2 linked regions of the Caenorhabditis elegans genome follow. The protein of the gene in region 1 interacts with the protein of each later gene in a biochemical or structural test. Each region holds a gene or a part of one and is shown in the gene's direction. Other genes may lie near its edges. The genes, in order: mua-6 and ifp-1.

Evidence for each region.
Region 2: the proteins of mua-6 (region 1) and ifp-1 form a complex in vitro, tested with the Caenorhabditis elegans proteins (one study listed by BioGRID).

The regions. Positions count from the first base shown.
Region 1 is NC_003284.9:16,261,779-16,267,607, reverse strand, and holds mua-6 (Intermediate filament protein ifa-2), read left to right. Parts: upstream 1-1,921; 5' UTR 1,922-1,926; coding exon 1,927-2,402; intron 2,403-2,623; coding exon 2,624-2,810; intron 2,811-2,865; coding exon 2,866-3,618; intron 3,619-3,796; coding exon 3,797-3,958; intron 3,959-4,902; coding exon 4,903-5,019; intron 5,020-5,076; coding exon 5,077-5,127; 3' UTR 5,128-5,319; downstream 5,320-5,829. Other genes in the region: Intermediate filament protein ifa-3, read left to right, coding at 1-16, 64-114; Serine/threonine-protein kinase sgk-1, read left to right, coding at 5,557-5,578. UniProt on the Caenorhabditis elegans protein: Cytoplasmic intermediate filaments provide mechanical strength to cells. Essential protein, involved in attachment structures in epidermal cells that connect muscles to the external cuticle.
Region 2 is NC_003284.9:9,675,075-9,681,783, reverse strand, and holds ifp-1 (Intermediate filament protein ifp-1), read left to right. Parts: upstream 1-1,614; 5' UTR 1,615-1,617; coding exon 1,618-1,728; intron 1,729-1,794; coding exon 1,795-1,908; intron 1,909-2,382; coding exon 2,383-2,667; intron 2,668-3,155; coding exon 3,156-3,533; intron 3,534-3,578; coding exon 3,579-3,743; intron 3,744-3,790; coding exon 3,791-4,670; intron 4,671-4,958; coding exon 4,959-5,029; intron 5,030-5,078; coding exon 5,079-5,231; intron 5,232-5,429; coding exon 5,430-5,537; intron 5,538-5,626; coding exon 5,627-5,692; 3' UTR 5,693-5,911; downstream 5,912-6,709. UniProt on the Caenorhabditis elegans protein: Cytoplasmic intermediate filaments provide mechanical strength to cells. Not essential protein.

The DNA.
Region 1 (5,829 bases):
CAACAACAGTGGAGAGGTAACTCAAGCCAAAATTTCAAAAGTATTTAGAATCTTTTTTTGCAGGAACGCGCAACACACATGCAACGCCAAAGCCAACAGACTACAACTTCATAAATCTAACCTTGCTCGGATAACAATACGAGAAATTTCCCCATCTTAGTTAATTTTTTCTTCTTATTTTCAAGCCGAAATTGTACGGAACCGTAATTTTTTATTTATTTCATGCAGTATTTTGCCATGACTCAATTCAAATTTTCATCCATTCTTTGTCTTTCAGTTTATATTTTTTGATCTAACATTGAGCGCCATTTCATTATGACCTAAACTACTTCTTACTAATTTTTTATTCACTGATTTTCGACATCTAAATTTATATGTTTTAATATATTCTAATAAACAACAGTTAGTTGATTCAGTTGTAAAGGTGGAATAGCGCCAGTGGGGAATGTGTCAAAAACCACTCCTATGGTCTCAAAATAACCAAATACCATGATAAAACATTTCAAAAAAATTGGAAAACTTTTTATTTACTGTCAAAAAGTGACAATTGCTCAGTTTCTGCCACTCATAATTTTGGAAGTCGACCAAAAAAAATTTTTTTTTCTACATATTTTATAATGCAATTTTATTTAAATTATTCGTATTAAAACATTGTAGGGGTCGAAACATGCGACATTGCTTTGGGTTTCCTTAAAAGACTCATATTTTCAAAATTTTGGCAATTCTCCTCGTGGTTTTGGCCTATTATAAGTGTATTTAGGCAAAATCTCCATTTGCGCTACTTCACCTTAAAGTTTATTACAGTTATAGCTTGTGCTTATTGCCTACCTAGGAACAGTAGAAAATTAAAATTTTCTTTGTTTCTTCTCAAATTTTTTTCACTTTACGGAGAAAGAAGTAGTTAAATCATTTAAGGGAGCTGATTTCAAATTCTATTTATATTCCTTTTTTAATTAACGAAAACTAGAGCACAAATATTAAATAAGACTATTGGCTTTTAATTGTTTTGATTATTCAAAAATAACAACAAAAAAAACCAAAATTCATGTTGCAGCTAGATCGGTGTAAAAAAACTGTAGTTCTTTGACTAATTACTTTTTGAAACTAGTTTCTTCATTTTGAAACTAAGAACAAACATTTAAGAAAGTTTCCTTTGAAGTTTGCCGAAGTTCAATCACTAAAAATCTTTTTTGCTGTCTCTTCACATTTATCTAATCATTTTAATTCGAGGCAAGTGGGTGAATTCTGACATATCTATCACTTAATCTATCAATTAGTCACCTCGAATCGAATATTTGAATAGAATATGTAACAGTTAAACTTCACAATCTCTCAAGACGAATAATCATTAATCAAAACCACACCCAATCGTGTTTTAACTGACTCCTGACTCATCTGGACGACACCCTTTTCTGGTAGTAGAACAATAATTCACTTACGGGAACATGTCCATCTTCGTCACTTTTGCAATCACCAATGGAGGCGGGGATTGCGAATGGATAAGTGGTCAGGAAAGAGAGAGAGAAAAAAAACGATAAATTGGAGAAAACCGCTCCCTTCCATCATCTTCACTGCGCCGCCCATCTCCAGCCCCTCCCGATCCGCCACCTTCTTCGTGTACAAGAAATGTTGATGGGTTGGGAAGGAAGAGGTGAGGCAGTTTTTATGTCGCCCTCCACCTCCCCTCCCAGTTTTCAATTTCTCGATTTACTTATGTAGGTGTGGTTAGTTATATTCTCAAGAGGGTGTGTCTCGGGTTTTGTCATTTTTCTCACATTGTCCCTGAATTGCTATATTTTTTTGTTTCTAAGTTTTCATAAAACAATTCAAATTAGACAATCTGATTGTTTCAACTTCTCTCTATTTTCTTGCTCCCCAATATATTATAACATAGATTTTTCTAACAATTTAAAATTTTCAGACATAATGACCGATCCAGATTCCTACCGCAGCTCCATCACCTCTCGCCCATCATTCAACCGCACTGTTACCAGCAGTAGTCAAAACTATGGAGCACCAGGATCAGGGAATCGTGTGCTGAAGATTGTCACCGAAACTCACTCTTCCTCAGTTTCAAGTGGACTCTCCCCATACGGACAGAATGCTGCGTCCACCATCCGAGACAACCGTGAGCGTGAAAAGAAAGAAATCATGGAGCTCAATGATCGTTTGGCTAGCTACATTGAGAAGGTCAGATTCCTTGATGCTCAGAACAGAAAGTTGGATGCCGATCTGAAGATGCTCCAAGGAAGATTTGGAAAAAGTACCGGATCTGTGAAAGTTATGTATGAGATGGAGATCACCACTGCCACCAATGTTGTCAAGCAGACAGGAAAGGATCACGGAGAGACTGAAAAGGAGATTCGTAAGCTTCAGGATCAACTCGACGAGTTGCGAAAGAAGTGAGTTTAATTGAGATGAGAAACCATAGTAAATATGAAAACCGTAATGATTCGTTTATATTGATAATCTGCTAAATCTGGATCCTATTCTGGAGAGTTTGAGCAATTCTAGCCATTGCTCCAGTATCACTCCGTTAAGAAGTTGAAACTTTGTATATCCTATACCATTAATACCGGTCCCGTTTATATCTAACAAAATTCACATTGAATATTATTTTCAGGTTTGAAGAGGCCCAAAGAGGGCGTGCTGAAGATCGTTTGAAGATTGATGATCTTTTGGTTACCCTTTCCAACCTCGAAGCCGAGATCAACCTTCTCAAGAGACGCATCGCCCTCCTTGAGGAAGAAGTTGCTCGCCTGAAAAAGGAAAACTTCCGGCTCACATCTGAACTCCAACGTGTTCGCATTGTGAGTGACTAAATCATGAAGTATTCGGAAAAAAAGATACAATTTTTAATTTCAGGAGCTCGACCAGGAAACCCTTCTTCGTATCGACAACCAAAACAAGGTGAAGACTATTCTGGAGGAGATTGACTTCATGAAGAGAGGATTTGAGACTGAGCTCAAGGAGCTTCAGGCTCAAGCTGCTCGTGACACCACTAGTGAAAACCGCGAGTACTTCAAGAATGAACTCGCTAATGCTATGCGTGACATTCGTGCCGAGTATGACCAGATCATGAATGGAAACCGTAATGACATGGAATCCTGGTACCAGTTGAGAGTTCAAGAGATCAATACTCAATCCAACCGCCAAAACGCGGAGAACAACTATCAGAAAGAGGAGGTGAAGAGACTCCGCAATCAAACTTCCGAGCTCCGCCAAAAGCTTTCTGATTTGGAATCAAGGAATCTTCTTCTTGAGAAACAAATCGAAGATCTCAACTACCAGCTCGAGGATGACCAAAGATCCTACGAAGCTGCCCTCAATGACAAGGATGCACAAATCCGCAAGCTCCGTGAAGAATGCCAAGCTCTCATGGTCGAGCTCCAGATGCTCCTTGACACTAAACAAACCCTTGATGGGGAGCTCAAGGTTTACAGACAAATGTTGGAAGGTAATTCTGAAGGAAATGGGCTTCGGCAACTTGTCGAGAAGGTCGTCCGCACATCTGCAATCAATGAAGAGGCTGACACCGAAACGATGCGCGTAGTCAAAGGAGAACACTCCAGCAGAACATCTTATCAACGTTCAGCTAAAGGAAATGTGGCGATCAAGGTGAGGGATTTATTTTCAAGTTTTTTGAAAATTGCTTTTTCGCTAAAATAAAGCTTTGACGTTCAAAAATTTAAAACTTCCAATGGCCATTGACTGTAGTCACTAATAATATCATTCCGACATAAAAATAATCAATTTATCACTTAGTACATACTCAATAATGATAATTTCTTTTCAGGAAACCTCCCCAGAAGGCAAATTTGTCATTTTGGAAAACACACACAGAGCCAAAGAAGAGCCACTCGGAGACTGGAAGCTTAAGAGAAAGATCGACGGAAAACGCGAGATCGTCTTCACCTTCCCATCCGACTACATCCTCCACCCATTCCAATCTGTCAAGGTTTGCGAATTTCTACTTCTTTCAGAAACAAGCCTAGCTACCCAGGACCTGTCGCGTATAAAACATTTCAAATTGGTGTCTCAGAATGAAATGTGTTGTTGTCTCTGTGTGTGTGTGTCGAATTGATAATCTAATGCGCGATTGCGTTTGGGTGTGGCAAGGTCATCCGTCCGTAATGACTAAAGGGGGGGTAACTTTGCTTCGAAAAAGAAAGATTGGGGATGTATGTAGGAGAAAAAGAAGGAATAAAAAGTGATAAACAAATTGATGGAAACTGTGAAGACAAACGTTGTTCACAGAAATCAATAAAAGGGACAGATGAGATGTGAGATTATTTAGGTCAGCTTTGAAAAAAAATGTTTTCAAATAAGGTTTGAATAAGAAATGAATTTGAAAGAAGCAATTATTTATTTAAAAGGTGGAGTAGCGCCAGTGGGGATTTTGTCTAAATGCACTTATAATGATCCAAAACAACCGAATATCATAATAAAACACTCCAAAATTTTTTTTAGATTTTTCATAATTTCCGGTCAAAGTTTTGGCAAATTCCCAAAAAATTTTAAAATACTAGCTTTTGAGGAAATTCAAAGAAATGTCGCATGTTTCGACCCCTACAATGTTTTAATACAAACAAAATTAAAACATAAAAAATGTCGAAAAAAAATTTTTTTTTTGATCGACTTCCAAAATTATGAGTGGCAAAAACTGAGTAATTGCCACTTTTTGACAGTAAATAAAAAATTTAAAAATTTTTTTTGAAAAGTTTTATCAAGATGTTTGGTCATTTTTGGACCAAAGGAGTGGTTTTTAACAATTTCCCGACTGGCGCTACTCCACCTTCAATCAATTTCATACAAAACATTTTTCATAAAAAAAAAAGAAATTCAAGTGAGGTGTTTTAACATTAAAAAAACCACTGTAAAGACAAATTTCTACATTTCCAGATCTTCGCCCGCGGACAAGGAATCGCCAATCCTCCAGAAGTGCTCATTTTCGAAGGTGACGAAACATTCGGTGTTGGCGCCAACGTTCAAACAATCCTTTACAACAATAAGGGAGAGGTAATTCAACCCCCAAAAATTTACGTGCAGAATAAAATGTTATTTTTTTCTTTGCAGGAGCGCGCGACACACATCCAACGTCAAAGCCAACAAACGACATCTTCCTAAATCTAGCTTTTTGCTTGAGCTATTTACTGTTTTCTTCTCTTTGTACCAGAAATCTGAACCCCAACTCTTTGCTGCCTGCCTGTTTGCATTTTTTCCGTTTGCTATATACTTTTTCACTTTTTTGTTTCTTTTTCCTCCGGTAACTTACTCATTTTCAACAATAAATACTTTATACAGATCAAAAAATTGCCATATGGAATGTTCATTTTTCATTTGAAACATTGATAGGAAAAGTAAGGTGGGGAAATATTAAAGGTGATAACGTGATCAAGAGCAAATAAGAAAGTCAGACGAATGGCTCGGTGAGCCGTGATAAGAAGACAAGGTCCAACCCAGCGATTCTAATCAGTTAACACGAGACAAGATACATCGAAAACCCACATTCGACCTGGTGGCGGTTATTCTAAATACGAGAGCATTACTGTGACAATGGGCAGCATGTATTATAATGGTGAGTCAAAGATTAAACCTGGCTGGTTCTGTGAAATGTTTGTATTTGTTTTAAGAAATTCAAAATCTGAAATGTCTTAAAAGTCTCAATTTTTTTAAATGGCTGATAAAATTTTGAAAACCTAGCTCTTCCAGATAAAACCTAGATTTCTGCCAACATGTCACAGTTGCGGCGGTCTGAAAACATTAGTTGATGGGTGCAAAAAATACTTCTTACTCCTGAAAACAACTTAATCAACGAAAAAAGTCATA
Region 2 (6,709 bases), 6.6 Mb from region 1:
TTTAAGTGTTTTAACCCGGAACTCATCCTATTTTTAATTGTAAATATGTTATTTTTCACTTTCCTAACACGAACAATAAAAAAACATTTGTAAAACAATAAAAAAACATTGATCACACTGAACACAAAAAAATTTCCGACAATTGTTTAGGAGCAAACGACATTTACCCAAGAAATGTGCGTACCAACTGGAAAGGCATTTGTACTCGTTGAGGAATACTAATTTTGTTCTTTCTTCCAGGCGTGTTTTTGATCTCAGAGCTCGAAGAGTGATGATGAACAAAACGAAAACCGGAAAAGAAGCAAGTGGGCGTCATAGTTGTCGCACTTTTTGAATATATTCAATACAAGAATACAGTAAAGAAAAAAGAAAGAAACAGGGAATTTTTTCCTTGCTGATTCTTTTAATAGAGAAGTCCTGAGCAGTTCAAGGATTCCTTATCAGTTATTTTGCGTAAAGTAACTATGATTCACAAATTACCAATAGAAAATGCAGTTTTCACATTGGAAAAACAAAAAAACAAAAGCTATTGAACATTAAAAAATCGGTACTTGTGTGTTTTATGTATGCCCTCATTTAAAATTTAAATTGAGCTTTCATTAATTTCTCCTTTCAATATAAACGTGGTACGCATCATTCTTCGTTGGGCTTAGAAATGGCTATTTTCTAAGCTTAAAATTAAAAAATATTCCACACGTTTTTATTTTTTAGACTTATGGAAGTATCATTAAAAATAGAAACAAATTTGAAAAAGGAGCATTTTGAATTCGAGGAGCTAAAGCGGCATAACTGTTTTTTTTTTGCGTGCGAAAAAATTTTCATTAGCAAATTTTTTGTAAAATTTATTCTTTGGCCAATTATACGGCTGAATGTGAAGATGAATTTGTTTTTAATAAATATATGGTTTCTACATGAGTTCTCTCAATTAACCAGGTAAGTTGATTATGTTTAAAACAAATCGGAAATGGGCTGAATTGAAGCCCAGAGCTTCAATTCAATAGGTTGGAGAAATTACTGAGTTTCTAAATAAAAAGTATTTTAACAAATGACTCAGTTTCTCGAACTTCCTGAAATGTAAAAAACATTATCCTGTAAATTAATATTTGCAACTTGCAATGAATCATTTCCACCTCCTACAACAATTACACCATTGTTAGTACAGTTTGATTGCTCCACATCGGTGCATCAGTCTCTCCCCCTCATCTCCATAGACCACACAAATGTCTTCTCCCTCTTGATTCATCTATCTCTCGCTTCAAATAGCTCTTTATTTTAATAGTGATAAGAAACGTGCTAAAGTACCGCCAACCGAGTGAAACATGCTCACTAGCATTCTTCACCTACTTTACTATCACAATGGCATGCCATTAAACATTTTCCAAGAGTCGATTCGGTTTCCTGTCATCACGACTGTGAAAATTCGCGGTTTTCACTCGTGCTCGTACACCTATTGCATTTTTTAATTCACCTTTTCAAGTTTTGATAAGAAGTTTTACGCACTCGATTATTTTCTGCTTATTCTGCAATTTTTTGTCCTTTCAAGTCGCACTTTTATAATTTTTCATTTTGCTTTTAGAATTTTCTTGCTTTCTGGTCTTATGGTTACTGTTTCAGCGCATGGATTCCGCTAACGCTAGGGATTGTCTACTACATCTGGCAAGAGCTAAGCTCTCTGAGCGACAAGACCTTGTTCAGCTCAACGATCAGTTTGTGGATATCATCGAACATGTGAGTTTGTGTTATTGCCTATCATCTCTTCTATGTACTGTAAAACAAAATATTTAATATTTTCAGGTCCACTATATGGAAGCTGAGCACACTGCTTTGGAACACGACTACAATTTGCTAAAAAGTGGAGTCCAGAGCGACAGTAGTGGAATTAATGAAATTTACAATGTTGAGATCAGGGTGAGTGTCAATTGTTGCAGCTGTCTTATTCACGCTTCCAGCATTCTTGTTCTTTGTGCGCTATCAGTTTTCACTATTTACTTTCTGTGTGGGCTGAAACCATCAGTTTCCCTCACACAAGTTTTAGCGGCGATGAACTTGTTTACTCGTTAAAAGAAACGAAGCCTACAGTTTTAATGACTTAAAAGTACATTGAAGTTGTGCTCTTTCGTAGAGTACGATAATTTCCTTTGCTTGCGTGTCGCGTTAACTACAAACAATAATCTTTACGATCGTTTGTTTCCGAAGAATTCATTTCTTTAATTATCATTAGAGAATAAAGGGAGTGGCAACTAGAAACGTGCAAGCCGCCTACTATTGATAGCAAACATACTATCATTCTGGTCAGCTGTAAAAAATGAAACTTCTGATTAAAAACAATTTGAAGTATACAATTAATTCATACGATGTATCAATATTATCATTGTTTTTCAGACTGTCAGATCGGGAATTGAAGAAATTAACCGAAGCCGGCACGAACTACTAAATGAGCAAACCCAGTTGTCCCATCAAGTCAAAGAAGCCGAACAACTTTGGAGACACACTGCAAAATCAGCTTTGGGGGTTCCCAAAGAGGTTGATGATGAGTTCCATAGAATCTGTCATATCAAGATGGAAGATTGTATCACTAAGAGAAGAATCAAGTATATGGAGGATAAGCTCAGACTGATCAAACAGAACAATGGAAGAATTTTTGAGCATATTAATTTGATGAGAATGGTGGGTTCGATTTTTTAAAAGACTGTTAATACATGCAAAAACAATAGAGGTTCAATTTGATAGATTTGGAAAAAAAACTCATAAGAACTTTTCGGATATCAGTTTTTTGGGATAGATTTAAATCACACTGGTATTTTGATTGTTGAAATATATTCAGTAGGTACATATATAAATTTTTTTTTTCAAAAACTTATTTTTTTATTTTTTCGAAATGATTTGTTTTCATTTCGCCCAACACGGAAATAATGATTGTAATGCTAAATATAATTTTGAGCCAAAAACTATCTGTTAAAAAAAAAAAACATACAAAAAACTTAGCTGGCTCAAGTTTTCTGTTTTTCAGTTAGTAGCGTGAATGTCATGAAAGACTTGCACTGCCTCTCAAAAAACGCGAGGTTCCTTGTGATAAGCTAAATTTTTTGTCAACACAGTTAAGAAGTTTGACTCATTATCTTATTCATTATCGACTGTGAATTCTCTATATTCAGAGAAAAGATCAAGCTGTCAGTCTGCAACAAGAATATCTTCTTCGCAAGAATGAGTTGTTGCACAGTATCCGAAATATGGAGGAAGACAACAAAAAGATTATCATGAATGAGCACAAATACTTTGTTCGTGATCGCAATGCGGATCGTCACGTCTTCCGCGATCAACTTCGCAAGGCAATTGCTGATATTCGTGCTGATTATGAGGCTAACAGATTGAGAAACGAAGAAGAAATTCGAATTCGCTTGGAAAGGGAAATCCATCGAATGAATACCACTATGCCAGGAGTAGTTTGCTATGACAAACTGAGAGAGGAGCTTTCGATTGTTAAGAACAATCTTTCTGGATTGCAGAAACAAGTTTCTGAAGTTGAAATCAGAGTGAGAATTTGAAATTATTTTCCATGATGATTGTGTAATTTTCAGAACAATTCTCTCACTCAACAAATTGAATTCTATCGTCTGGAAATTTCGGAAAATAACAAGCTTTTCGAGGATACTTTGGAATTCAAAATAAAGGAAATTGAGAAGATGAGAGAGCAATGCACTGCCATCAGTGTTGAATTGGAGAAACTTTGTGACTTAAACATTGTATGTTGTATTATTTTGTGTGTTTATTAAATTGTTAACGTTTTCAGGACTTGCAAAAGGAAATCGCAAAATATCGGGAACTTCTCGACAGATCTGGAGATCCTCGTGCAAATGCGCCAAGTACTCAAGTTATAGCAAGCGCGCTTAGTCGACAGAACTACAGCAGCATTTCTGACCACCATAGCCGAACTTCTTCTGGAATAGTTCAGCACACTGCTCATCACGCTGTGAGAGATTCCTCGTCGTCCAGAACTGGTACCACTATTCATGAGACCATCACTCACACGCCAATTCCAATTCCTGCTACACTTCCTGTTCAACCAATTCGTGAATATACTTATTCGAGGGACGCGAGCCCGATTCGTCCATCATATACTCCGTACCAGCAGGAGTCTCGTGCTGATAGCCGATCTTCTCTCAGGGAGAGAATTCAAATCGAGACTCTCCAAGGCACACTTCCGGTTCTGCCAAGCCATTCGGTTGAAACAATTCGTGCTTCAGATAACACCCGATTAGTGAGAGACCTTAGCGCGGGAGGTCAGATTAACACAACACAGATTAACAATCCATACGCGTCTCGTACTCCAACTTCATCGGTCAATGATAGGATTGCAAGCGAACGTCGTGATAGTGAAATTCGTCGCAACGATGCTTTACATCAACCTTATCCAATTGGTGGTGCCGTTCCTCGAGTTGAGCCTACAATTTTTAATGAACGTGCTCCCGGTTACACTCATATTAATAGCAACTTCCCGCTAATTACGCCAGTGACTGAAGGAGCTACTGTCCCCTCATACTACGATACTTTTAATCGGAACTCGAGCCAAAGAGGGCCACATCATTCGAGCTATCATGCAGCAACAGGCTCAGTGAGCAATAGCATCTCCACTACTCTACTCAATGAAGGATCAATTGAACATAGCAGTAGTGAGTGGAAGACGGCTTTTAATATTGACTGACAACACCTCGTCAAATGCTAAGCTTTGAGACGTTTTTAAGCTGTCGAAAACTATCGTATCATACCATTTTAGTTTTTTCCAGATTAGTTTGAAAAAAGAGTTACTGATAAGACAAACGTACACAACCACCACAAACGAATCGTAAAATAACGTTTACGATTAAAAGTTTACTGTTACGTGTATTATGTAACGACAGTTGAGAGAACTATCACGCTAGAAAAATATTTATAAAAAAATACAAAGAAACGCATTCCAGGTTCCGATAGTGTTGACGAGGACAACTTCCAGAGATTCACTAGATGGTACAAGGGGAGAGTGAAGATTTCGGTAACACTCTTTGCTTTTTAATATTATTAGGACTGAACAATTCTTACAGGATGTGACTGCAGATTTTGTTCAACTTGTAAATAGAAGCTCGAAAAAATCGGCAGACGTTGGTGGCTTCAAACTTATTCACGAGTTTGGAAACAAGAGCGTATATGTTGATCTTCCAGTTGGATTGATCCTTGCACCCAAGGATAGCTTGAAGGTTATGCTTTTTCTAGTGTAGTTTATCAGTTCTTATATAATAGCATTCAGGATCCTAGAATTCACAAATTCAAGTTGATTTGCTTTGAAAACAGTGTTAACTTGTAGAAAAAAAAAATTGTTTTTTTTCAAACGGCGCAAAACTGAATACTACTTCTATGTCACCGATAAACTAGAAACTGTAAATTATTTTTTACAGATCTACGCTCGTGGAGCAACTCATGAAAGAGGAGCAGTTATTGCTGAAATTGACTTCTTCGATACCACCATCCATACCAATACATCAATCAGAAACACGAATAATGAGGTAAATAGTCTTTGATTTACAATTGTAAACACAACTGATTGACATCTGGCCTCTTGCCAATAACTTTGATTACTCCAATTATATTTCAGGTGAAATCGTGGTTTGTTTACACGAGCAACACTGAAATCGGAGATGCAGACCATCATCATCATTGATACATTACTAATGCCAAATTTCTGATAACATGATAATTCTAACAACAAATATATATTTTATTTTCTCTTGTTTTCATTTTTCACACTTTTTATCAAGAAACTTCTACTCGTTGCCCCTATTTTTTTCCACTCACTTCTTGAAAAAGGAAATAATTCTTTAATTCAATCCCAGTAATTCGTATTTCTTTCATATTCTGAATTTAAAATAAACCTATTACTCAAAAAAAGCTCACTTGCCCCGATTCAATTATAAACATCTGCTCTGTTTCGAAACTCTGCTAAATGTAATTTTTTTTTATTCAAAAATTAGAGATTAAAATCGAAATTATTTAAAGAGAAGAAGCAGTTTTCAGCTTTTGTTTTTTTTGAAAATCAGTTTTGATGGAAGTTTGAATTCTATTTTTTCTTCACAAAATTCCAGCGGTTTTTTTTTTCAAAAATAAACGGTTAAGCTACAGAGTATTTTCCACTAGTTCATCTGGCAATACACTTCAACTTCCAAGTAAAAATATTGCTTTCCCGTGCGGTCAATTATTGCTAAACCAATTTTATTCGTTGGACTGTTTTGAGTGACCCAAGAAAATAATGTTTTAAAAACTGTTCCAAGTACAAAAAAGTACCTCAGATGAGATAAAAGTTGATTATTATCATTTAAAAGTGAACCGTATCAAGTTTAAATTTAAAATGATTCACTCATTAATTAACGGGGGTGTTTGTGTGGGTTGAGTAAAGGCATAGACAACTCATATCATAACTCATTATCGGCGCGCCTGTCTTCCACTTACCCTCTTTTTCAAACATTGTCACCTAACCCGATCCTCTACCATTAGGATATTCACATCTGGCACTGCTAAGTGACCAATTCATATCCCTTTCCTCTTTTTTTCTTTGTTTTGGGCTCTGTTTCTCTTTCTTCCATCTCCATTGGATACATGTTTTCAAATTCTTCGCCACATTTTTTTATTTTCATCTACCACTTTTCCACACTCTCTTATTTTCCTTTTCGGGCTCATTTCT